Stegostoma tigrinum: one gene and its partner. The protein of the gene in region 1 purifies or fractionates together with the protein of each later gene. This does not show direct contact. Links are inferred from orthologs where the notes say so. Each region holds a gene or a part of one and is shown in the gene's direction. Other genes may lie near its edges. The genes, in order: rnf139 and insig1.

Region 1 (12,495 bases):
TATGTTTACGATTACCGTATTACATTCATTAAACCGCGATCTTGCAATATATTTCAATATTAAAGACAGACTAAAATATTCCTTTCATCCTATTTCTGCCTTTTCACAGCTTTATAATGGGATAGTGTAGTGGGAGGAGCTTAGGTTAGTTCGCAGGTCGGCGCAACATCGAGGGCCGAAGGGCCTGTTCTGCGCTGTATTCTATTCTATGTTAACCCTTTCCGCCCCATGCTGCTAGCAGTGTCCAGACCTATGTCTACATCAGAGGCTATCCCTGAGTATATGTTAACTTTGTAATCTGTTCAAAACAATACCATCCCAGCCACCATGCCACCCAAAACTAGAAAAGATAACATTAATGTTCCCTTCAAGAAATTTAAATGAATGAATGAGTAAACTATGAATAGTGAAATCTCAAGACCCAGCCACGACAATCACACTACTACCCCTTCTGCTGTTATTCAGTGCATATATGATTCCCAGCCCAGTCAAATCAGGTCTAGGCCCGAAACATCAGCCTTCCTGCTCCTCTGATGTTGCTTGGCCTGCTGTGTTCATCCAGCTCCACACCTTGTTATCCCATATAGGCTTCATATTCTTTTTGGCATTCTGTAACTTTTAAAAACTAAAAGGACCCACACTCCTCATTCCCCTATTTCAGCTCCACCCCCACCCCTTTCTGGCCCATGGCCAATCCACGTGGCCACGAGGCCAATTGGAGACTTTCCAGTTGTTAGGGTGGTGGTCTGAATATGGGTTCCTTTTTCACTGCTCTGCCAGTTGAGGGAATAAGTTTTTCCCCACATGCAGTTTGAGTCAACTTTCTCTGTATGTAGCGGACGAGAACAATAAAAGAATGAAAATCAAAAGAACTGTAAATCCGGAACAAAAACAAAGTTGCTGGAAAAGCTCACCAGGTCTGGCAGCATCTGTGGAGGAGAAAACAAAGTTAACGTCTCGGGTCCGGTGACCCTTCCTCAGAACATGATAAGAATGATTAGGACGACTTCTTGTAAGACAGTGAAGATGTGAGAGATAATCCTGATCCAAGGGTGCATATCGGTAGTTTATCCCCAATTCCACAAAAGCTCATACCATTAAACTCCATGGAAAACTTCCTCAATCTTAGATTTGGTCTTTTTGATCTGGATACCTTCTTGTATTCACTGGTGTTCCACATCCTGGGCTCCAGTTAATAACTGTTGCCAATAATGGTGCATGGGGAGACAGTACAAGTAAGGCTGGGAGAAGGTCTTGTAGGTCATGTTAGTTCTGCTTCCAGTGTGGAAGATACTGTAAGATTTTACCTTTCCCTTGATACCCTGGTGCAGGGGGCTAATAGTCTCCCCTCCAACAGTGATTTATTTCCTTTAGGTTAGTTATGACTAGATAATGTCCCTCAAAGGAGCAGTTCGGGTGTCTTTTGTTATAATGCTTTGCTGGAGTAGCAATGTATACTTGATAACAAAGTGTAGAGCTGGATGAACACAGCAGGCCAAGTAGCGTCATAGGAGCAGGAAAGTTGATGTTTCGGGCCTAGACCCTTCTTCAGAAATGGGGGAGGGGAAGGGAGTTCTGAAATAAATAGGGAGGGGAGGAGGCGGATAGAACATGAATAGAGGAGAAGATAGGTGGGAGAGGAGATAGACCAGTCAAAGAGGCGGGGATGGAGCCAGTAAAGGTGAGTGTAGGTGGGGAGGTAGGGAGGAGATAGGTCAGTCCAGGGAGGACGGACATGTCAAGGAGGCAGGATGATGTTGGTAGGTAAGAGATGGGGGTGCGGCTTCAGGTGGGAGGAGGGGATAGGTGGGAGGAAGGACAGGTTAGGGAGGTGGGGACAAGCTGGGCTCGTTTTGGGATGTAGTAGGGGGAGGGGAGATTTTGAAGCTTGTGAAGTCCACATTGATACCATTGGGCTGCAGGGTTCCCAAGCGGAATATGAGTTACTGTTCCTGCAACTTTCGGGTAGCATCATTGTGGCACTGCAGGAGGTCCAGGATGGACAAGTTGTCTGCAGAATGGGGGGTGGGGGGAGTTAAAATGGTTGTTGGTTCATAATCGCATAACATGTTCATTGGACTTGGTTCTTTTGGATGTCACAGTTGCACTCCATAGTGGGTGCTTTTGGAAATCGTATCGGTTGGCCATAACAAAAATGTGTCCTGTCCAAGGACTTTTCCTTGTTAACAGCTTTCAGTTGTCTTTGAGAGCCTTGTGTTCAGTCCTATTAAAATATCCCGGAACATGGAGACGGAAAAGAGGTAAAGATAAATTAGCATACTCTGGAACCCTCAAATGTATTCCCACTACATTTGGCACATCAGGGGTATAACAATGAAAGTTTGTGCCAGCTCCCTGGTACAAGGGTGTATGTCCACAACTCACTGCTTGGAGGTCTTGATCTTGAATCCAGGAGGGGAGCCAGTGATTCAAAAGTATGGTCATATGGGTTTGGTAGTCTGTCAGAATGCAGGAAGCAATCACAACACACAGACACAGTTTCTGGGCGCCCTTTGTATTATTGTTAATTCTCACGCAGTTAGTCTCGGTGGTCTTCCCAGCGTCTTCCAGTAAGGAAATGGCCTTAACATGTATCCTGGTATCTCTGGCACCATTGTCGGTCGTTTTGTGGTGGTGGTCTAGTCCCATTTGCATGCGCTTCTTCATTTCTCCCTTTAGATCTATTAACTGCTATTGCAAGGAAGACAGATCGACAGAATTGACTGTCGCGACTCCTGCTCCATAGCCAGCCCCAACAGCTGTCAGTACGTCACGTTTGTCTCGATGTTGATATTGGAGATGTATAGTAGGCTCCCATCATAGCAAATCTTGTCTGAGACGTAAAGAAATTCTTTATGGGCTTTGGGCATTGGGTTGAGAGAGACAAATTCAATTGGATTAATAACTTTATGGTGGCTATGTCCAGCTTTCAGAGTAGTCTGATAGGTTGGGGTTCTAGGATTAAAATATGTTATATTTTCATTTCTTATTGAGGGTCCTGGGGTAGACCACTACCCAATCCTAATCTTGTATGTCAGTTTCCCTGTGCACATCGATCCACTATCTCGCCTATGCCGTTTTTATCCCTTGCTCGCATTGTCTACACTCTATGGTACAATTGTATGAATCTGTCCTGAATTTCCTGAATGCTTTCCATTTCCTAGTGTTGCCTTGCCTACCTGCTCGTGACGACATAAGCGAACCGTGATACCCTTCAATTACTGTGCCATTGCCGACCCACAAACTAGAGCCTTTGGCACGATTGAGGAAGGAGATCCAGCTGGGGGTCTGAGAGAGGTACAAGGAGTTGTCATTCTCATTATTTCAGTGATAGAAACCTGTTGTCCAGAATCTATTGAACTTATAGATCAGGAGAGGAAACCCAGCAGCGTATGTTAGCTGTCCTTTCTCAGATGGGTCAATCCATAGCTCTCCATTCATGCAGAAGTCTTTCAGGCCAGTGGAATAAATGTCACTGTCCAGCGGATGTGTTTGAAAGTTGCTTTGGAACAGAATTATGCAATTGGAATTAATTATCAATAAACAAATTTTAAGTTGACATAACTGGAATTGCACAATCACACAATGATTCAGCACAAATAAAACCAACTAAACCCACTGTACTCATACCAATTCTTTGTCGGGAGACATTCAATTGATCCCAATCTCTGTTCTATCCTCTATTCTACGATAGAATGGTTAAAGCACAGGCAAGGCCATTTAATCCATAAACTCCATGACAGTTCTTTGCAAGAAAATCTATCTGATCACACTGCTGTAATTCCATAGAACAGCCATACATGTGTACTTGACTTGAAACATTAACTCTCTCCCCCACCCCCCCCCATCTTCATGAGACTGCCAAATTTGCTAAGTTTCTCTGCTACTTTCTGTGATAATGGGAACTGCAGATGCTGGAGAATCCAAGATAACAAAGTGTGGACCTGGATGAACACAGCAGGCCAAGCAGCATCTCAGGAGCACAAAAGCTGACGTTTTGGACCTAGACCCTTCATCAGAGAGGTCTCTGATGAAGGGTCTAGGCCCAAAACGTCAGCTTTTGTGCTCCTGAGATGCTGCTTGGCCTGCTGTGTTCATCCAGCTCCACACTTTGTTATCTCTGCTACTTTCTGTTTCTGTTTTCAGCATCTGCTGTAACTTGATTTTGTTTCAGCTAAGCCTTCATCCTCTCCTTGCAGCCTGACATTATATTTACTTTTGCAAGTCATGATACAATTGCCTCTACCACTCTCTCACACAACACATTTCAGATCATAGCCACTCATGGACACCAGTTGCCACAGCACAGATGCACATAAAAAGATAATGGGGGAGTGACAGTTTCAAAATTGGAACTTTGCCTCCTCGAAGCATGAACCTTTGGTCCCAACTCTGGTTTGTGCAGGTTGACAACACCCATTTCCATCCAACATTGAGACTGTGAACCACAGATTAATATTAAGCCCTTAACAAGTTTTGCAAAATCTTATTTATATTTCCAAGATTTAGTAAACAATTTAAACTCTCACCACTTTAGAATCATTGGCCTTCAGGAACAAAGCAGGAAATCAAATAGCAATTTCTTGACTATTTTCAGCATCATGTGCAAGAGACATGAATTTAAACTGTGGAAGTAATGATCACTAATGAACATTCTTGACTATAACATATTGAGGCAAATTTAGAAGAAGGGATGAATACGAGTCATAGGGTTAAGATAACAAGTTGTGGAGCTGGATGAACACAGCAGGCCAAGCAGTGTCAAAGGAGCACAAAAGCTGACGTTTCAGGCCTAGACCCTTCATCAGAAAAGGGGGATTGGGAGAGGGTTCTGAATAAAATAGGGAGAGCGGGGGAGGGGGACCGAAGATGGGTATAGGAGAAGATAGGTGGACAGGAGAATATAGGTGGGGAGGTAGGGAGGGGGATAGGGCAGTCCGGGGAGGACGGACAAATCAAGGGAGCGGGATGAGGTTAGTAGGTAGGAAATGGAGGTGCGGCTTGAGGTGGGAGGGGGGGATAGATGAGAGGAAGAACAGGTTAGGGAGGCAGGGACGAGCTGGGCTTGTTTTGGGATGCAGCGGGGGGAAGGGAGATTTTGAAGCTTGTGAAATCCACATTGATACCATTAGGCTGCCGGGTTCCCAAGCGGAATATGAGTTGCTGTTCCTGCAACCTTCGGTGGCCTCATTATGGCACTGCAGGAGGCACAGGATGGACATGTTGTCTAAGGAATGGGAGAGGGAGTTGAAATGGTTCGCGACTGGGAGGTGCAGTTTGTTTATTGCGAACCGAGCATAGGTGTTCTGCTAAGAGGTCCCCAAGCCTCGACTTGGTTTCCCCAATGTGCTGGAAGCCACAACGGGTACAGCGGATGCAGTATACCACATTGGCGGATGTGCAGGTGAACATCTGCTTGATGTGGAAAGTCATCTTGGGGCCTGGGATGGGGTGAGGGAGGAGGTGTGGGGGCAAGTGTAGCACTTCCTGCAGTTGCAGGGGAAAGTGCCTTTAGTGGTGGGGTCGGATTGTAGGTGGCGGAAGTGTCGGAGGATGATGTGTTGTATCTGGAGGTTGGTGGGGTGGTATGTGAGGACTAGGGGGATTCTCTTTTGGTGGTTATTGCGGGGGCAGGATGTGAGGGATGAGTTGCGGGAAATGCGGGAGACACGGTCGAGGGTGTTCTCGACCACTGTCGGGGAAAATTGCGGTCCTTAAAGAACGAGGACATCTGGGATGTATGGGAGTGGAATGCCTCATCCTGGGAGCAGATGCGGCGGAGGCGGAGGAATTGTAATAGGGCATGGAATTTTTGCAGGAAGGTGGGTGGGAGGAGGTGTATTCTTGGTAGCTTTGAGAGTCGGTGGGCTTGAAATTGACATCGGTTTCGGGTCTGGACCCTTCTTCAGAAATGGGGGAAGGGAAAGGGGCTGAGATAAACAGACAGGATGAGGTGATAACAGAAAGTGGTGAGAGGACCAGATAGGTGGAGAGAAAATGGACAGGTCAAGGAGGTGGGGATGAAGCTAGTAAAGGTGTGTCTAGGTAGGGAGTTGGGATGTGGGTTGGTCAGTGAGGCGGGAGGGGCGGATAGATGGGAGGGAAGACAGACAGGTCAAGAAGACCGATAGGAGGCTAATAGGTAGGACTTGGGGGTCGGGGGTTGGTCAGTGAGGTGGGAGAAAAGACCAGATAACACAGTGTGGAGCTGGGTGAACACAGCAGGCCAAGCAGCATCTCAGGAGCACAAAAGCTGACGTTTCGGGCCTAGACCCTTCATCTGCTTGGCCTGCGGTGTTCATCCAGCTCCACACTTTGTTGTCTTGGATTCTCCAGCATCTGCAGTGCCCATTATCACTGGGAGAAAAGACGGACAGGTCACGGGGGCGGACACGAGTGGGGGAGGTCTTCGGATGCGTTCGGGGGTGGGGTAATTTTGAAAGTTGTTTTGGAAAGGAGATACAGAAGAATGCATTGAAGATTATTTTCTGAATGCAAGTAACGTCAATGACATGAGACTTGCTAACTATGGTGGAAGAAGAGAAAAACAAATGACTTCAAAAAGAAATGAAACGGGCACTTGGAAGACAAACTTGCAAAGCTCCGTGGCAGGGGACTGACTAGATTTTTTTCACACATGATGGACTAAATTGCCTCTTGCTGAGCTGTAATGACATTCTCTAAGCTCTCAAGTTACACCAAGCATTGCTGCAACAGATCAACAGCAAGAGCACAGTTTCAATATGAACCACCACGGCAACGGTCTGCATCGGAGTAAACGTCTCTGCGCAAACTCAGAAATCGGCGCACGTCTGATTGTGACGCGGCCGCGTGCCCCCGGGCGATCCCGGTTGAACGTTCCATCCTGCTTGTGATTGTGAGGTCACTGCGTCTTCTCCATCTTATCGCCCTCCATATTCCTCCTACGTCCGATTATGACGTGCCAGTCTACGTGACGCACCTTTCGCGTTGAGCGGGAGTCGCGGCAGGCGGAGGGCGGCCTGGGCGATGGGGAGGAAGCGGACAGTCGCGGCGGACGTGGGCAGACAGCGACACCGGGCCGACAGCTGACTCACCGCCAGCTACAGCCCGGCCAGATAAACAGGGGTTCGACTTTAGTACGCCGGCCGGTTGGCCTGCTGGCTGGCCAGCCGGCCGAGCCACTCTCTCAGCCAACAGCGGAGTTTGTTGTGAGCGGGTCGCAGCGTTTGCCGGTGGTCGCCCATGTCAGCGCAGGGGCTGTCAATGGGGAGTCACCTCCGGGGGGTCCTGGACGTGGCCCTGCGGGTCCCCTGCATCTTCGTCATCGACGCCATCTTGAACTCTTACTTTGACGGCCTTGAGAGCCTGTCCACGGTGGCTCGACAAGTATCACAGCGGTTGCTGGGTGAGTGATTGCAGGAGGGGCCACTGTCGAATGAGCAACACACAGCCCCAGTGATTGGGGGTGGTCCTGTCGGACAAGTCAAAAATCCTCGTCGTGTGGTATCGCAAACAACTCTGGATTAGTTAAGAGCAGGCTTGCAAAAGATTCTGCGTGGCCAGTTTGCAGCCCTTGTCTGAGGGAAATGGCACGTCTTTATTTCATTACATGATTTTTCTTTATCTACAGATGAGCCCAAGTTGCAATCCTTAAATTCTGAAAAAGGTTGTTGAATTAATACTTCAAGTCCCCGAAGCTATTTTAGGAGAGGGATTCTCTCCGGTATTCTGCTCTGAGAGGAGATACGTGCTGAGTTTTGAAGCTTCTTTTTCAGGTTGAGAGGGTAAATTTGGAAAGAGTTTTCAGAGAGATTTGCATAAAGTTCTTGTAAAACCCAACCAGGATTCATTGCTGGTAGGAGTGAGTTTTTGAAGTTGTGCATGATTTGCCACTCAGATTGCTTTGTCCTGGGTGGTGTCAGGCTTGGTGTTAGAGTTGTACTAAGCAAGCAAAGTATTCCATTAACTCTTTACCTTCCCAGTAGATTATAACCAGCATATTACTCCTTTACTAGTGTAGGCCTTGTAGCTGCTGCACGTTTGTTTCTGATGGGTTCAGTATGATTTGTGATAAATTGGAAATACCACCCTTTGATGTTTGGGGCATTTGATTAATATTAGTGTTGACTATCCAGGGCTATTGGTTAAATTTTCCTGGAATTGATATCTGGCACTTGGGTAACATTAATATTATTATACATCATTTATCAGCCTGAGCTTCAGTGTTCTCCTAATCTTGCTCCATGTGGTGTGGACTGTGCCATTATTTTGAGCAGGTGGTATTAAACACTCTAGCTGTCACTGAGCTAACTCTCTCCTAAAGGAGCAAGGCCATTGATGAAGCAGTTAAAGATAGTTAAGTTTCGGATGCTTTTCTGCAGTCTCGTTAGTGCAGTTGCTAGAGCCCAAAATTTCCTGATCTTATTACATTGAAAATTGGTAGGAGCCATAAGATTACAGAAGCAAAGGTGTGTAAAAATGTGAAGGATTATATGGAGAAACTTAAATTTTGGAGAACCTTTTGTCCTACAAATGTGTACATCAGAAAATGCAATGGGCTCCACCATGATGGACAAGAACTTTGTCTGTGGTGGGCAGATGGGTTACGGTCAGGGGATGGAAAGGGAACCGGCAGGCAGTGCAGGGATCTCCTGCGGCCATTTCCCTCAACAATAAGTATACCGTTTTGGATACTGTTGGGGGGGAGGGGGGAGAATGACTTACCAGGGGAAAGCAGTGGGGCACAGGTCTCTAGCACAGAGTCTGTCCCTGCTGCTCAGAAGGGAAGGGGGAAGAGGAGCAGAGCAGTAGTCATTGGGGACTCCATAGTTAGGGGGACAAATAGGAGGTTCTGTGGGGACGAGAGAGACTCATGGTTGGTGTGTTGCCTCCCAGGTGCCAGGGTGCGTGATGTCTCTGATCGTGTTTTTGGGATCCTTGAGGGGGAGCAGCCCCAAGTCGTGGTCCACATTGGCACCAATGACATAGGTGGGAAGAGAGATGGGGATTTAAGGCAGAAATTCAGGGAGCTAGGATGAACAGAGTTGTTGTCTCTGGTTTGTTGCCTGTGCCACGTGCTAGTGAGGCGAGGAATAGGGAGAGAGATGAGTTGAACACGTGGCTACAGGGATGGTGCAGGAGGGAGGGTTTTGGATTCTTGGATAATTGGGGCTCTACAAGCAAGATGGTCTTCACCTGAGCCAGAGGGGTACTGATATCCTGGGGGGGAAATTTGCTAAGGCTATTCGGGTGGGTTTAAACTAATTCAGCAGGGAGATGGGCACCAAAATTGTAGTTCAACTGTAGAAAAGGTTGAGAGTAGGGTGGTCCGCAATAAAGTTTCAGGGAAGCAAGATGGCACCGGCAAGCAAGAAGTTGGTTTGAACTGTGTCTACTTCAATGCCAGGAGCATCTGGAATAAGATGTGTGAACTTGAAGCATGGGTTAATACCTGGGACTTCGATGTTGTGGACATTTCGGAGACATGGATAGAGCAGGGACAGGAATGGTTGTTGCGGGTTCTGGGATTTAGATGATTCAGTAAGAACAGAGAAGATGGTAAAAGGGGCGGAGGTGTGGCATTGTTGGTCAAGGACAGTATTACAATTACAGAAAGGATGTTTGGGGACTCGTCAACTGAGGTAGTATGGGCTGAGGTTAGAAACAGGAAAGGAGAGGTCACCCTGTTGGGAGTTTTCTGTAGGCCTCCGAATAGTTCCAGAGATGTAGAGGAAAGGATAGCAAAAATGATTCTCGATAGGAGTGAGAGAGAGAGGGTAGTTGTCATGGGGGACTTCAACTTTCCAGATATTGACTGGGAACACTACAGTTTGAGTACTATAGATGGGTCAGTTTTTGTCCAGTGTGTTCAGGAGGGCTTCCTGACACAGTATGTAGATAGGCCAACAAGGGCGAAGCCACATTAGATTTGCTACTGGGTAATGAGCCTGGCCAGGTGTTAGATTTGGAAGTAGGTGAGCACTTTGGTGATAGCGATCACAATTCTGTTATGTTTACTTTAGTTGATGGAAAGGGATAGGTGTATACCACTGGGCAAGAGTTATAGCTGGGGGAAAGGCAATTACGATGAGATTAGGCAAGGTTTAGGGAGCATAGGATGGGGAAGGAAACTGCAGGGGATGGGCACATTAGAAATGTAGAGCTTATTCAAGGAAAAGCTCCTGTGTGTCCTAGATAAGTATGTACCTGTCAGGCAGGGAGGAAGCTGTAGAGCGCGGGAGCCGTGGTTTACAAAGGAGGTGGAATCTCTCTTCAAGAGGAAGAAGGCGGCTTATGTTAGGATGAGATGTGAAGGCTCAGTTAGGGCACTTGAGGGCTATGTGGTAGCCAGGAAAGACCTAAAGAGAGAGCTCAGAAGAGCCAGGAGGAGACATGAGAAGTTCTTGGCGGATAGGATCAGGGTAAACTCTAAGGCTTTCTATCGGTGTTTAAGGATTAAAAGAATGACGAAAGTAAGATTAGGCCCAATCAAGGATAGTAGTGGTAAGTTGTGTGTGGAGTCAGATGAGATAGGGGAAGCGCTAAATGAATATTTTTCAACAGTATTCACTCTAGAAAACGACAATGTTGTCAAGGAGAATACTGAGATACAGGCTACTAGACTAGGTGGGATTGAGGTTCCCAAGGAAGAGGTATTAGAAATCGTACAGTGTGTGAAGATAGATAAGTCTCCTGGGCCGGATGGGATTTATCCTCGGGTCCTCTGGGAAGCCAGGGAGGAGATTGCCGAACCTTTGGCATTGATCTTTAACTCGTCATTGTCTACAGGAATAGTGCCAGATGACTGGAGGATAGCAAATGTGGTTCCCCTGTTCAAGAAGGGGAGTAGAGACAACCCTGGTAATTATAGACCAGTGAGCCTTACCTCAGTTGTTGGTAAAGTGTTGGAAAAGGTTATAAGGGATAGGATTTATAAACATCTAGAAAAGAATAAATTGATTAGGGATAGTCAGCACGGTTTTGTGAAGGGAAGGTTGTGCCTCAAACCTTATTGAGTTCTTTGAGAAGGTGACCAAACAGGTAGATGAGAGTAAACCGGTTGATGTGGTGTATATGGATTTCAGCAAGGCGTTCGATAAGGTTCCCCACAATAGGCTATTGTACAAAATGAGGAGGAATGGAATTGTGGGAGATATAGCAGTTTGGATTGGAAATTGGCTTGCTGAAAGAAGACAGAGGGTGGTAGTTGATGGGAAATGTTCATCCTGGAGACCAGTTACTAGTGGTGTACCGCAAGGGTCGGTGTTGGGTCCACTGCTGTTTGTCATTTTTATAAATGACCTGGATGAGGGCGTAGAAGGATGGGTTAGTAAATTTGCAGACGACACTAAAGTCGGTGGAGTTGTGGATAGTGACGAAGGATGCTGTAGGTTGCAGATAGACATAGATAAGCTGCAGAGCTGGGCTGAGAGGTGGCAAATGGAGATTAATGCAGACAAGTGTGAGGTGATGCACATTGGTAGGAGTAACCAGAAGGCAAAGTACAGGGGTAATGGTAAGATTCTTAGTAGTGTAGATGAGCAGAGAGATCTCGGTGTCCATGTACACAGATCCTTGAAAGTTGCAACCCAGGTTGACAGGGCTGTTAAGAAGACATATGGTGTTTTAGCTTTTATTAATAGAGGGATTGAGTTCTGGAACCAAGAAGTTATGCTGCAGCTGTACAAAACTCTGGTGCGGCCGCACTTGGAGTATTGCGTACAGTTCTGGTCACTGCATTATAAGAAGGATGTGGAAGCTTTGGAAGGGTTGCAAAGGAGATTTACGAGGATGTTGCCTGGTATGGAGGGAAGGTCTTACGAGGAAAGGCTGAGGGACTTGAGGCTGTTTTCGTTAGAGAGAAGAAGGTTGAGAGGTGACTTAATTGAGACATATAAAATAATCAGAGGGTTAGATAGGATGGATAGGGAGAGCCTTCTTCCTAGGATGGTGAAGGCGGGCACGAGGGGGCATAGCTTTAAATTGAGGGGTGAGAGATACAGGACAGATGTCAGAGGTAGTTTCTTTACTCAGAGAGTAGTAAGGGAATGGAACGCTTTGCCTGCAACGGTAGTAGATTCGCCAAATTTAGGTACATTTAAGGCGTCATTGGATAAGCATATGGACGTACGTGGAATACTGTAGGTTAGATGGGCTTGAGATCGGTATGACAGGTCGGCACAACATTGAGGGCCGAAGGGCCTGTACTGTGCTGTAGTGCTCTGTGTTCTGTTGTCCTCTGCTCAGTAACTCTCCGTGCATTGGAAAAAGGCTGGGCAAGAGAGACTGGAGTCACTGTTCCCTGAATCTGATCAGGGAACGTGGGAGCTCGTATTTCTGATTATACAGGAATGAGTTTGGGGTGGCAGTCAGTGTTACTGAACAGGATTGGCTGGATTCAGTGACATTGAGGATCAAGGAACGGGGCGGCACGGTGGCTCAGTGGTTAGCACTGCTGCCTCAGCACTGGGGACCCTGGTTTGATTCCACCCTCGGACGACTGTGTGGAGTTTG
Region 2 (12,730 bases), on another chromosome or scaffold:
CTTAGCCTGACATTTATGTGGCATGAATGTTATTTGCTTTGAGGACCAACGGTGGGGTAGTAAGCTTGGATGTCTGGTTTATGATGTAGAGTGATGCAAATACCATGGGTTCCATTCTTACCCTGACTAAGGTTACCATGAAAATCCGAACTTCTCAACTTCACCCGCAGTTTAAACTTCCCACAAGTCATCTCTCAAATGAGAGAGTGGGATTATGGCAACTTTATCTGCATTTCAGATTTATTAGAACTCAGTCCCTTAAGTTTCTCCAGTTCTTTTTCACTGCTGATGCTAATTACCTTAATTTTTTGGATCTCATTAGTCCCTACATTATCTTCTATTTCTGTGAATGAAAGAAAGTTAAACACACAAACCTCTTTATTAGCTGATGTCTTTGAACTCTTGCTAGTCCACCACACTCCAAGAAGATTCCTTCAACGCCAACTTCACATGCATTCCTCACTTCCTTCCCCTTGCACTGTGGTTGGCAATTCTGCTTTAAGCCATCTAGGCTGTAAGCTTGGGAAGTCCTTTCTTACATCTCTCTGGCTGTCCATTGCTCCCTCTTCTTTAAAACACTGCCCAACATCTAGGTCTGACCAAGCTTTTAGTAGCCCATTCTAGCAAATACTTCTTTGGCTACATGCCAATTTTTATCTGCCTTCTCCCCTGTCAAATGCCTTGAGGCACTTACCTGTGAGAAAGGCACTGAATAAATACAAGTTGTTGATGTTGTTGGAACTGCACCATAACAATGACCACACTTCAAAATAATTAATCAGCCAAAAAGCTTTCGAAATGTCCAAATAGAACATTTTCTGTTGTTTCTATCTCTGTAAGTAGAGAGAGGCAGTGATAGATAGAGATTGAGCCAGACAAACAGACAGGTATAGGGACTGTGGATGCTGATTCAAAAAAAGAGTTAATTAGTAACTGGAACCTAAAGTTTACAGGCATCTCCTGTCATGGAACGCATTTAACAAATAATTAAATCTGTGCGTTGGTAAAGAATGTGGATGGATCTTGTTACCACTAGGAGTAATTGAGTTGAATGATTGAGGGAAAACTAGATAAGAGTACGAGCGGAGAGATGGGGGCTGTGCTGATAGAGGTAGTTGAGAATGGATGACCACAGGTTAGTGTGGAGCTTATTAGCGAGAAGGACTGATTGGGCTCAATAGTCTATTTCAGTGAGAAATAATATCAGTAATTTTATGTTGTTGCAAATTCATGAGTGTTTTTGAAACTAACATATAGTTATGGAGCACTTTCACCCGCATTAAATGCCATGTGTATAAGATGCCAAGATAATAAAATGTGAGGCTGGATGAACACAGCAGGCCAAGCAGCATCTCAGGAGCACAAAAGCTGACGTTTCGGGCCTAGACCCTTCATCAGAGAGGGGGATGGGGTGAGGGTTGTGGAATAAATAGGGAGTGAGGTGGAGGCGGACCGAAGATGGGGAGAAAAGAAGATAGATGGAGAGGAGAGTATAGGTGGGGAGGTAGGGAGGGGATAGGTCAGTCCAGGGAAGACGGACAGGTCAAGGAGGTGGGATGAGGTTAGTAGGTAGGAGATGGAGGTGCGGCTTGGGGTGGGAGGAAGGAATGAGTGAGAGGAAGAACAGGTTAGGGAGGCAGAGACAGGTTGGACTGGTTTTGGGATGCAGTGGGTGGAGGGGAAGAGCTGGGCTGGTTGTTTGGTGCAGTGGGGGGAGGGGACGAACTGGGCTGGTTTAGGGATGCAGTAGGGGAAGGGGAGATTTTGAAACTGGTGAAGTCCACATTGATACCATTGGGCTGCAGGGTTCCCAGGCGGAATATGAGTTGCTGTTCCTGCAACCTACGGGTGGCATCATTGTGGCACTGCAGGAGGCCCATGATGGACATGTCATCAAGAGAATGGGAGGGGGAGTGGAAATGGTTTGCGACTGGGAGGTGCAGTTGTTTGTTGCGAACCGAGCGGAGGTGTTCTGCAAAGCGGTCTCCAAGCCGCCGCTTGGTCTCCCCAGTGTAGAGGAAGCCACACCGGGTACACTGGATGCAGTATACCACATTGGCAGATGTGCAGGTGAATCTCTGCTTAATGTGGATTGTCATCTTGGGGCCTGGGGTAGGGGTGAGGGAGGAGGTGTGGGGGCAAGTTTAGCATTTCCTGCGGTTGCAGGGGAAGGTGCCGGGTGTGGTGGGGTTGGAGGGCAGTGTGGAGCGAACAAGGGAGTCACGGAGAGAGTGGTCTCTCCGGAAGCAGACAGGGGTGGGGATGGAAAAATGTCTTGCGTGGTGGGGTCGGATTGTAGATGGCGGAAGTGTCGGAGAATAAGATGCCAGCTTATTTCTGCAATTCTGACTGTATTCCAGGCAGAAAGTTGCTGCTGGAAATTGATTAACAAAAGCAGCAAGACTTCAATTACTTACCTCCCTGGAGGAAGTTACAGTTTTCCTGTAGTGTCAATCAGCAAGTTAGAATAGATTCATATTTCAATGATTACAAAGTGTAGAGCTGGATGAACACAGCAGGCCATGCAGCATCTTAGCAGCGCAAAAGCTGCCGTTTAGGGCCTAGACCCTTCATCATATTTCAATGCTCTGTTTCTCAAGCTGATATTTCAGTTCCTCTTTCCTTTTGAAATAACTCAAGACAAATTATTTTGTGGTCAGACTGGTGTATCCAAATTTGGATTAAAAGCATAAGGGGCTGGAGAAAAACAGCTGGTGAAACTCAGCAGGCCTGCCAGCATCCATGAAGTGTGCAAAACAGAGCTAACATTTCAGAATTGGTATGAAGAGTCATGCTGGATTTTAAATGTTAACTCGGTGCCTCTCGCCACAGATGTTGACAGGCCTGATGAGATTCTCCAGCAGTTTCTGGTTCCTCCTGCTACCCAGAGATGTGCAGGTTAGGTGTATTGGTCTTGCTAAATTGCCCAATAGTAACCAGCGATGTGTCGGTTAGGTGCATTAATCATAGAAAATGTAGGGGTACAGGCAAAGGTTAGGGGGATGCTCTTTAGGGGTCAGTGTGGATTTGTTAGGCCGAATGGCCTGTTTCCACACTGTATGATGATCATGAAACTATTGTTCATAGTTGGTAAAAATCCATCTGGTACACCAATATCCTGCAGGGATGAAAACTGCCATCCTTACATGGGCTACATGGAACTCCAGAACCACAGCAATGTGTTTGACTGTTTACTGCCCTTTGGGCAATTAGGGATTTGCAATGAATGCTGGCCTAGTCAGCGACACCCCCATCCTGTGAAGGAATAAACATATTCCAGCATCCAGAGAATTTTGCTTTGATTCAAATCTGGGTTAAATTGGATTTGCACACATGACATGCTGAATGTAGAAAGTGTCTGCTATCATAAGAACACAAGAAGTAAGGGCAGCAGCAGACCATTCAGCTCTTTGAGCCACTGAATTGAGATTATGGCTGATCTTGTAGCCCCATCATTTTCTTGCACTATCAATAGAGACTGGTCCTTCACTCAGAGAGTACCCTATATCAGATAAAGTTACTGTGGAGAAAATACAACTGGAATTGCAGGGACCTTGTTGCATAGAATTGCAGAAATAGGCCATTTGGTGAGCTCAAATGATCTGTACTAGTGTTCATATTCCTCTTATTCAATCCCACTATTTAGAGTCAGCAAGCATTCTCACTGAGTCATTCTTACATATTTTCAACCATTCCATTCATTGTGGTACTGGAGAAAAAACAGATTTAAAGGGAGAGTATGAGGAGAGTGGCCCAATGTAAAATTACTCAGAGATAGCAAGTACTGCAGCTGCTGGAGTCAAAAACAACAGAGTGGAGCTGGAGGAACACAGCAGGCCGGGCAGCATCAGAGGAGCAGGAAAGTTGATGTTTCGGGTCGGGACCCTTCCTCAACTTTGTCAACTTTCCTGCTCCTCTGATGCTGCCTGGCCTGCTGTGCTCCTCCAGCTCCATACTGTATTGTCAATATAAAATTACTCCTTTATCCAAAACATTTCCACTTAAAAATAACGTTATCTAGAATTTACATGCCAAAACATGACATTCTGTCCAACTGCTTTCTGCACGTAAGAGATATGAATTGAGTGCTTTCAGTAGCCCTGGATCAGAACAGAATTGGGTGACCATAATATTACAGGCCAAGTTGGCAATCTTGCAAGTGATGAAAATTCAGCATCTGTGAGGTTCAGCCTCACACAATGAATGTTATACTCTCCTCGACTGCTACCTGGATATACTTGAATAGAAATAAGATACTGTGGATACTGGAAATCTGAAACAAACACAAATGCTGGAGAAACTTGTGATAATGGGAACTGCAGATGCTGGAGAATCCAAGATATTGAAATGTGAGGCTGGATGAACACAGCAGGCCCAGCAGCATCTCAGGAGCACAAAAGCTGACGTTTCGGGCCTAGACCGTTCATCAGATAGGGGTATGGGGTGAGGGTTCTGGAATAAATAGGGAGAGAGGTGGAGGCGGACCGAAGATGGAGAGAAAAGAAGATAGGTGGAGAGGAGAGTATAGGTGGGGAGGTAGGGAGGGGATAGGTCAGTCCAGGGAAGACGGACAGGTCAAGGAGGTGGGATGAGGTTAGTAGGTAGGAGATGGAGGTGCGGCTTGGGGTGGGAGGAAGGGATTGGTGAGAGGAAGAACAGGTTAGGGAGGCAGAGACAGGTTGGACTGGTTTTGGGATGCAATGGGTGGAGGGGAAGAGCTGGGCTGGTTGTTTGGTGCAGTGGGGGGAGGGGATGAACTGGGCTGGTTTTGGGATGCGGTGGGGGAAGGGGAGATTTTGAAGCTGGTGAAGTCCACATTGATACCATTGGGCTGCAGGGTTCCCAAGCGGAATATGAGTTGCTGTTCCTGCAACCTTCGGGTGGCATCATTGTGGCACTGCAGGAGGCCCATGATGGGCATGTCATCTAAAGAATGGGAGGGGGAGTGGAAATGGTTTGCGACTGGGAGGTGCAGTTGTTTATTGCGAACCGAGCAGAGGTGTTCTGCAAAGCGGTCCCCAAGCCTCCGCTTGGTTTCCCCAATGTAGAGGAAGCCACACCGGATACAGTGGATGCAGTATACCACATTGGCAGATGTGCAGGTGAACCTCTGCTTAATGTGGAAAGTCATCTTGGGGCCTGGGATAGGGGTGAGGGAGGAGGTGTGGGGGCAAGTGTAGCATTTCCTGCGGTTGCAGGGGAAGGTGTTGGGTTTGGTGGGGTTGGAGGGCAGTGTGGAGCGAACAAGGGAGTCACGGAGAGAGTGGTTTCTCCGGAAGGCAGACAAGGGTGGGGATGGGAAAATGTCTTGGGTGGTGGGGTCGGATTGTAGATGGTGGAAGTGTCGGAGGATGATGTGTTGTATCCGGAGGTTGGTGGGGTAGTGTGTGAGAACGAGGGGGATCCTCTTTGGGCGGTTGCGGCAGGTGCGGGGTGTGAGGGATGTGTTGCGGGAAATACGGGAGACGCGGTCAAGAGCGTTCTCGATCACTGTGGGGGGAAAGTTGCGGTCCTTTAGGAACTTGGACATCTGAGATGTGCGGGAGTGGAATGCCTCTTCGTGGGAGCAGATGCAGCGCAGGGGGAGGAATTGGGAATAGGGGATGGAATTTTTGCAGGAGAGTGGGTGGGAGGAGGTGTATTCTAGGTAGCTGTGGGAGTCGGTGGGCTTGAAATGGACATTAGTTACAAGCTGGTTGCCTGAGATGGAGACTGAGAGATCCAGGAAGGTGAGGGATGTGCTGGAGATGGCCCAGGTAAACTGAAGGTTGGGGTGGAAGGTGTTGGTGCAGTGGATGAACTGTTTGAGCTCCTCTGGGGAGCAAGAGGCAGCGCCGATACAGTCATCAATGTAACAGAGGAAGAGGTGGGGTTTGGGGCCTGTGTAGGTGCGGAAGAGGGACTGTTCCACGTAACCTACAAAGAGGCAGGCATAGCTGGGGCCCATGCGGGTGCCCACGGCCATCCCCTTAGTCTGCAGGAAGTGGAAGGAATTGAAAGAGAAACTTAGCAGGTTTGGAAGACTTCCTACTCAAAAGGACAGGAAGTGGAGGTGCTGGTGTTGGACTGGGGTGGACAAAGTCAGAAGTCATATGACACCAGGTTATAGTCCATCAGGTTTATTTGAAATCACAAGCTTTTGGAGTGTAGCCTTTTGTCAAGTGTGGTGAGACAGCAGGCACACTGACCCATGGATTACAAGCAGAGAGGTGGAAAGATCCATTCTAATGAGTCGAGTGTCAGATGACAAGTCTCTGCAGATGGCCAGGAGTATTAGACAGTGAGTAAAAGTGTCAACAGCTGAATAACCAACCAAGGAATGACCTATAATCCAATCAAATGAGGCAGAGAGATAATTACAGAACATTAAAAATAAGGTGGTGCTGCAGATTCAGGCTCTGCTTCGTCCCTCTACACGTTCTGCCTGCCTCCCACATTCACAGGCTGTCTGTAATTTACACAAGGTCACTTCACCCTGTCAAATAGTCTGGGTCACCATTCAATCCGCTTTCCTCTGCACTTCAGTTTCATTTCTCAGTCTTTAAGCGGGGGTGGGGGGGGAGGAGAACGGATGAGTAAAGAGTGACAGTGCGTGTATTTTATGATGCCTTGACAGGAAGGTGTGGTTTATCCTCCTCTTCCTGTGCAAACGGACGGTGCACCGAATGGTGTGTCCTTAACGTCATATGGGCCGTTCAGACTGCGATTGGCTCCAAGAGTCTCACCAGACAGATTGTTTTGACCGCTTGCCCGTCTGCGCTGTATGAATAGTCCCATTGCAGGATGTGACCTAATAATTCCACACATACAATGTAGAGCAACTGGCAACCTGAAAAGCGTTGCCTGCACAAAGTTCCACCCCCATTGTTTTTTTTCACAGAAGGCTGGCTTTTAATGGTGCTTAGTGCTAGCGCTGCTCAAAACTGGACGGTAAGCTTTGTTTATCAGGCTGATTTCACTGGAATGAGTTTTAGTGCTTCAGTGATGAGTTGGTTATACTGTAACCCGGTGTGGCTGTAAGAAGTAAAATGAGTATTTATCTTGTGTCTGTTCGGGACGATAGGATGTGTTTGCCTGTAAAGCTTTCTCCCTGTTTGTACAGCTAGCTCTCTTATGTTTGAGGCCATCATTAGCCTAGAAAAAAAACGAAGCTAACGTATCAGGGCGAGCCTGTTTCTTTACCATTAACTCTTGAGACCATCTTCACTTGCAAATCCACCACCATTCTCAGTGGCTTAACATTTGGAATATCGCAGTGTTCAGTATTTACTGGTCTTGCTGTGTCGATAATTTCACAAAGTTTGGCATTTGGACACGCTCCCCTGTTGTGTTTAAGTGTCACTCAAATGAATTCATTTGATTTTATCTTTTCCGTTTGCTGTTCACCCCTGCAGGGCCGTGGAGGCGCCGCCAATTTAGTGTAATTCCTGCCAGTTGCCTCTCCATACCAAATGTCAAGGATCGAAGAAACTTGCTGGTCGTGCAGTTGCACCCGGGTACATCCGTCTGAAAGTAACGGCACACTGCTGGTGGCAAAGGTCTACGAGATGATGACCATCGTCAGCTCGATCCTAGTCAGTGCCTACTGCTCCCTGGTTAGCGGTCACACCATGAACTTACTGCGGCGGGGCTTGGTGCTTTTCACCGTGGGAGTGTTTCTGGCGCTGGTGTTGAACCTGCTGCAGATCCAGAGGCACGTCACCCTGTTCCCCGAAGAGGTCATTGCCACAATTTTCTCCTCTGCCTGGTGGGTACCACCTTGTTGTGGCACAGCGGCAGGTAAGCGCGGGGTATTGGGAGGGAGAAATCAATATGCCAATAAGTTTAGGCCTTTTTACAGTGTTGAAGTTGTTCAAGAGAGTAACCTGTAGCAAACTTTATCCTCCATTCAACGAAAAAGGGGCACTCTTTAAAATATCAACCAGACCTGTTAAATAATGTTATTTTAAAAAAATACTTCTTGTCCTATTAAAACGTCAACAAATTGTCATTAGACTTGAATTTGGAATACAGATGTTTTGAAAGCCTCGATAAAAGTTCTTAGTTTTTCAGCATTTTTATTAAAAAACATTCCAATCCTACTGTGTTCTTGCATTGGGCATCTGTCACCAAACATGGTAATCTAATGAGTTGTAAGCACTAGAGCTGACAAACCCTTAAATCAATAACTTCTTGACTCTTTAACACTGAGCATTTGGCGTCTGTATTCGACAGAAGCATGTGTTTGTCATTTTCCGCAATTCAAATCTTTTTTTCTCTCCAAACGCGGTAACATATCAACCTCTTTTGTGTTGTGACACTGTAAATCCTCGATTCTTTCAGAAAATGCATCTCAACTTTGGTGTGAAACTTGCAGTAAAATTATAGTAACTCCCAACCTCTAAAGATAAAAAAAAGTGGCTTAATTCGAACAATCCCCAACCATTTGCAACACACATATCTCCCCGCTCACAAGAAAGAACACTTTTAAATAGGATCAGAGATAATGGGAACTGCAGATGCTGGAGATTCCAAGATAATAAAATGTGAGGCTGGATGAACACAGCAGGACCAGCAGCATCTCAGGAGCACAAAAGCTGACGTTTCGGGCCTAGACCCTTCATCAGAGAGGGTCTCTGATGAAGGGTCTAGGCCCGAAACGTCAGCTTTTGTGCTCCTGAGATGCTGCTTGGCCTGCTGTGTTCATCCAGCCTCACATTTTATTAACTTTTAAATAGGAAGTCAGTTTTTCTTTCATAAACTGTCAATTTTCACGCCTTGAAATGGAAATAAAACAAGGCTAGTTGACGTTGAAGTTCCAAAAGACATCTTCGCACTAGCGGAAGATGCCAGTGTTTTTTAACGCCGATGATTCATTTCAATTATATTCCTGAGGGAGGTTTTTCGCGCCACGTGTCGCTAGATTTGCATGAAATTGCAAGCGCGCTGGAGGAGGCGGGGCCTTGGAGTGCAGTGCTGTTTCTTGATTGGCTCAGCTGGCAACGGGTGAGCTGGACTGCTCGCTCCTGATTGGTTGTCATGTGCAACATACCACTTGGCTTTCTAAACTAAAATACAGAATGAAAGCAAGGAAATGAAGTGACAGGATGCTGAGCCTGTCTCAAGAGTTTGTAATACTGCTGAGTGCTGAACTTATTAACATTGTGTGTTTTCCCTCCCCACCCTTTCTATTTCACTGATGTTAGCATTCACCTGCTTTTAAATAGGCTCAACCCAATCTCGGCGCAATAGACAGGAGAGGTGGTCTTCAAAGGAAGCCAGAAAAGATTTAAATTTTATGTAATACGGTTCGTTACCTGCTGTACAGCTCACGTGATCGACCTTCGGAGTTTCTGTGGTGACTTTCTTGTAGAAGTGAAACTTCATGCAACAAGGAACTGGCATTGCAGAAAAAAAACTGAGTAGGTCTGGCAGCATCTACGTAGGGAAAGCCGAGTCAACCCCCGAAGAAGGGTCACTGGACTGGAAATGTTAACTCTTGCTTTCTCTCCACAGATGTTGCAATACCTGTTGAGGTTCTGCAACAGTTTCTGCTTCAAACCTTCAGCATCGACAGTTCTTTGTTTTGTTATAGTGAACTTCAGGTGTCTTGGTGACTGTTCTCAGTCCTGCTATTTGGAGATAATGTTCAGAAAGATGGGTTGTGTTTTTATGATGGTTAACACTGTTAGTGAGACATTGCCCACACCTACATCGCATTGAATATCAGAACAAGCTCAAGGGGCTGAAAGGCCCATCTCTGATTCTATGTTCTGTGGGCTTATAGGTTTAACTTGTTGTGCAATGTCATTAGTTGAGCTCAGCAGTGACATTGTTCATTGAAGCTGATCATTTATAGTTCTGTTTTCTAGAGAGGAATATAAAATGATGGAGTTACACAATTAACATGCAAATTACTTAACATTTAGAAGAAAAGGCTCAACCCTAAATGGTGATCTGTTCTATCTGATGCTAATTTTTACATTGTCCATCTCCAGCATTTATTTTTGGTTGTTTTCCCCTTTTTAGTTACATTTTAACACACCAAACTATTGACAATTTTTATCCTATTCATGTAGTGAAAGATAAGTATTTTACCTTGCAGAAATCTGTAAGCATTTTAAGAAATCCATAACAGCTAGCTTTAAAAAATGTTCTTCTAGATGAAGTTTAAAGTTTGCAACTAATTTATCATCTAACCTTTCCTCAGCTGTGGTAGGTCTGCTGTATCCCTGCATTGACAGCCACCTTGGAGAGCCTCACAAATTCAAAAGAGAGTGGGCAAGTGTCATGAGATGTGTAGCAGTTTTCGTTGGCATCAACCACGCAAGTGCTGTATCCTTCCAATTGTTAATGGGACAAAAATTATCGTTCCCCCCAATTATTATTTTTAGCGTAAAGTGGTGTCTTAATTTTGAAAAGGACAGAAAAACACTTGAGAAGGAAGTTACATTTCTCTTCTGTCTCCAACAGGACCTGGATATTACAACGTTCTAACCAGGAGATATCAAAGTGGATGAGAGTAAGGTTTGCTTAAATGTGAGAGAACCATCAGGGAAACGAACTCATTACAAAGAAGTGAACTTTATAAGTGATAACAAACTAAAATGAAGAGAATTATAGATAGCTGTTTGATTACTTCACTGCAATCACTATCTAAAAGTTCAAAAATTGCTTGGTTGTACAGAAGGTAAACATTGCTAAAAAGTTGTACTTACCAGCACTGGCTGCAAGAAACAGACTTAAACATGGGATACTACGTAAATGCTGTACAAATTGGTGTCCCTTTTCTTCTGAGTTTTTCTTGTGGTCCTGATTAATGCAAAATGAAAAGTTTTAACTCAGCAGGTCTGGAACTATCTATGGACAGAACATAAGAACTAAGAGCAGGAGTAGGCCATCCGGCCCCTCGAGCCTGCCCCACCATTCAATAAGATCATGGCTGATCTTTTTGAGACTCAGCTCCATTTACCTGCCCACACACCATTACCCTTAATTTCTTTATTATTCAAAAATTTATCTAGCCTTGCCTTAAACACATTCAGCGAGCTGGCTTTAACCACTTCACTGGGCAGGGAATTCCACAGATTCATGACCCTTTGGGTGAAGAAGTTCCTCCTGACCTCAGCCCTACATCTGCTTCCCTTTAGTTTGAGGCTATGCCCCCTGGTCCTAGTTTCACCTGCTAGTGGAAACAACCTCCCTGCCTCCACCTTATCTATTCCCTTCATAATCTTATATGCTTCTATGAGATCTCCCCTCATTCTTCTGAATTCCAATGAATATAATCCCAGCCTGCTCAGTCTCTCCTCATAATCCAACCCTCTCAACTCTGGAATCAACCAAGTGAATCTCCTCTACGCCCCCTCCAGTGCTAGTATATTCCTTCTCAAGTAAGGAGACCAAAACTGCACGTAGTACTCCAAGTGGCCTCACAGGACCCGAAACAACTGCAGCATCGATTCCCTGTTTTTAAACTCCACCATATGGAGAGAAAGCAGAGTTATTGTTTCGGGCCCCGTGACTTCAGAACCTGATACTCCAAATTTGATATTCTGAAGAAGGGTCATTGCACTCAAAACATTAACCTTGCTTTCTCTTCATAGATGGTTCCAGACCTGCTGAGTTAAAACTTTTCACTTTGCATTAAATGACTCGAAACATTTAACTCTGCTTTTTCTTCATAGATGCTGCCAGAGTTTCCTCAGAAACTTCTATTCTCGTTTGTTTTCATTCCCCAGCATCTGCAGTTCTTTATTTTGTTCTGAGATCCTATTTGTTAGGAGGCAAAGTATCCCTCACAACTGTTCTCAGAGATGGAATGAGTTAGTATTTGGCATAACATTTATCTCTCCATCAACAACAACTTGCATTTATGTGACACCTTTAGCATAGAAAAAAAAATCCAAAGGCCAATCAGAGCTTTTTGTTAAACAGAACTTGGCACTGAGCCATTAAGCCAGTATTCAGATGGATGACCTGGAGCTTGGTGAAAGATTAACAAAGAAATTGAATTTAGCTAAAAAAAATTTAAAAAGACTAACTGGTCATTGACCTTATCTGATACATTTAGGATTTGGCTGTAAAGTGCTTTGAGGTAGCATGAAAGACTATAAATGCAGGTTTTTTTTACTGCACTCTTGCAACTGTGGTGAACTTCAGGTTGTTGTTGCAGACAAAAACAGAAATTGCTGGAGAAATTCAGTAGGTCTGGCAGCGTCTGTGGAGAGAAAGCAGAGCTAACAGTTTGGAGTCCAGCAACCAATCTTCAGAACTGATAGCAGTTAGGGAAAAACAGTATTTATTGCTGATGACAGGGGAAGGTGGCAGGGAGGAGGACAGTCAGATCGCTAGAGAAGGAGCCCAGAGATAGAAAAGATAAGTAGACAAATGGCTTGTTAGTCGTAAGCCAGGAAAGAAGAGAAGCAAGATGGGTAGTAATGGGGGCTATTTGTAGTTATTAAATTAGTTGATTGTGCTAAAAGCAACATCTGTTAATACAGGACCAGAGGAATGGAGGTCGGTGATAGATGTGGAAGGAGGTGTTCTTGTTCTAAAATTAGTAAACGCCATGTTAAGTAGTGAAGGCTGTGAGGTCTCTATGCAAAAGATGAGATGTTATTCTTCCAGTATGCACTGAGCTTCACTGGAGCACTGCAGCAGGAAACTACAGCTGGTGTGGGAGCATTGTGGTGTGTTAACAGGTCAGGCAACTGGAGGCTCAGGGTCATTTTAACGGACAGACGTATTG

What was found.
Region 2: the proteins of rnf139 (region 1) and insig1 purify together in Homo sapiens (affinity purification with western blotting, with the first as the bait; 3 studies listed by BioGRID). This does not show direct contact. The link is inferred for Stegostoma tigrinum from reciprocal best matches to the Homo sapiens genes RNF139 and INSIG1.

The regions. Positions count from the first base shown.
Region 1 is NC_081358.1:76,980,984-76,993,478, forward strand, and holds the start of rnf139 (E3 ubiquitin-protein ligase RNF139), read left to right. Parts: upstream 1-6,873; 5' UTR 6,874-7,224; coding exon 7,225-7,387; intron 7,388-12,495. UniProt on the Homo sapiens protein: E3-ubiquitin ligase; acts as a negative regulator of cell proliferation through mechanisms involving G2/M arrest and cell death.
Region 2 is NC_081355.1:142,088,252-142,100,981, reverse strand, and holds the start of insig1 (insulin-induced gene 1 protein), read left to right. Parts: upstream 1-6,654; 5' UTR 6,655-6,930; intron 6,931-6,954; exon of another isoform or gene 6,955-7,016; intron 7,017-7,394; 5' UTR 7,395-7,451; coding exon 7,452-7,779; intron 7,780-8,710; exon of another isoform or gene 8,711-9,364; coding exon of another isoform or gene 9,365-9,401; intron 9,402-10,189; coding exon 10,190-10,314; intron 10,315-12,730. UniProt on the Homo sapiens protein: Oxysterol-binding protein that mediates feedback control of cholesterol synthesis by controlling both endoplasmic reticulum to Golgi transport of SCAP and degradation of HMGCR.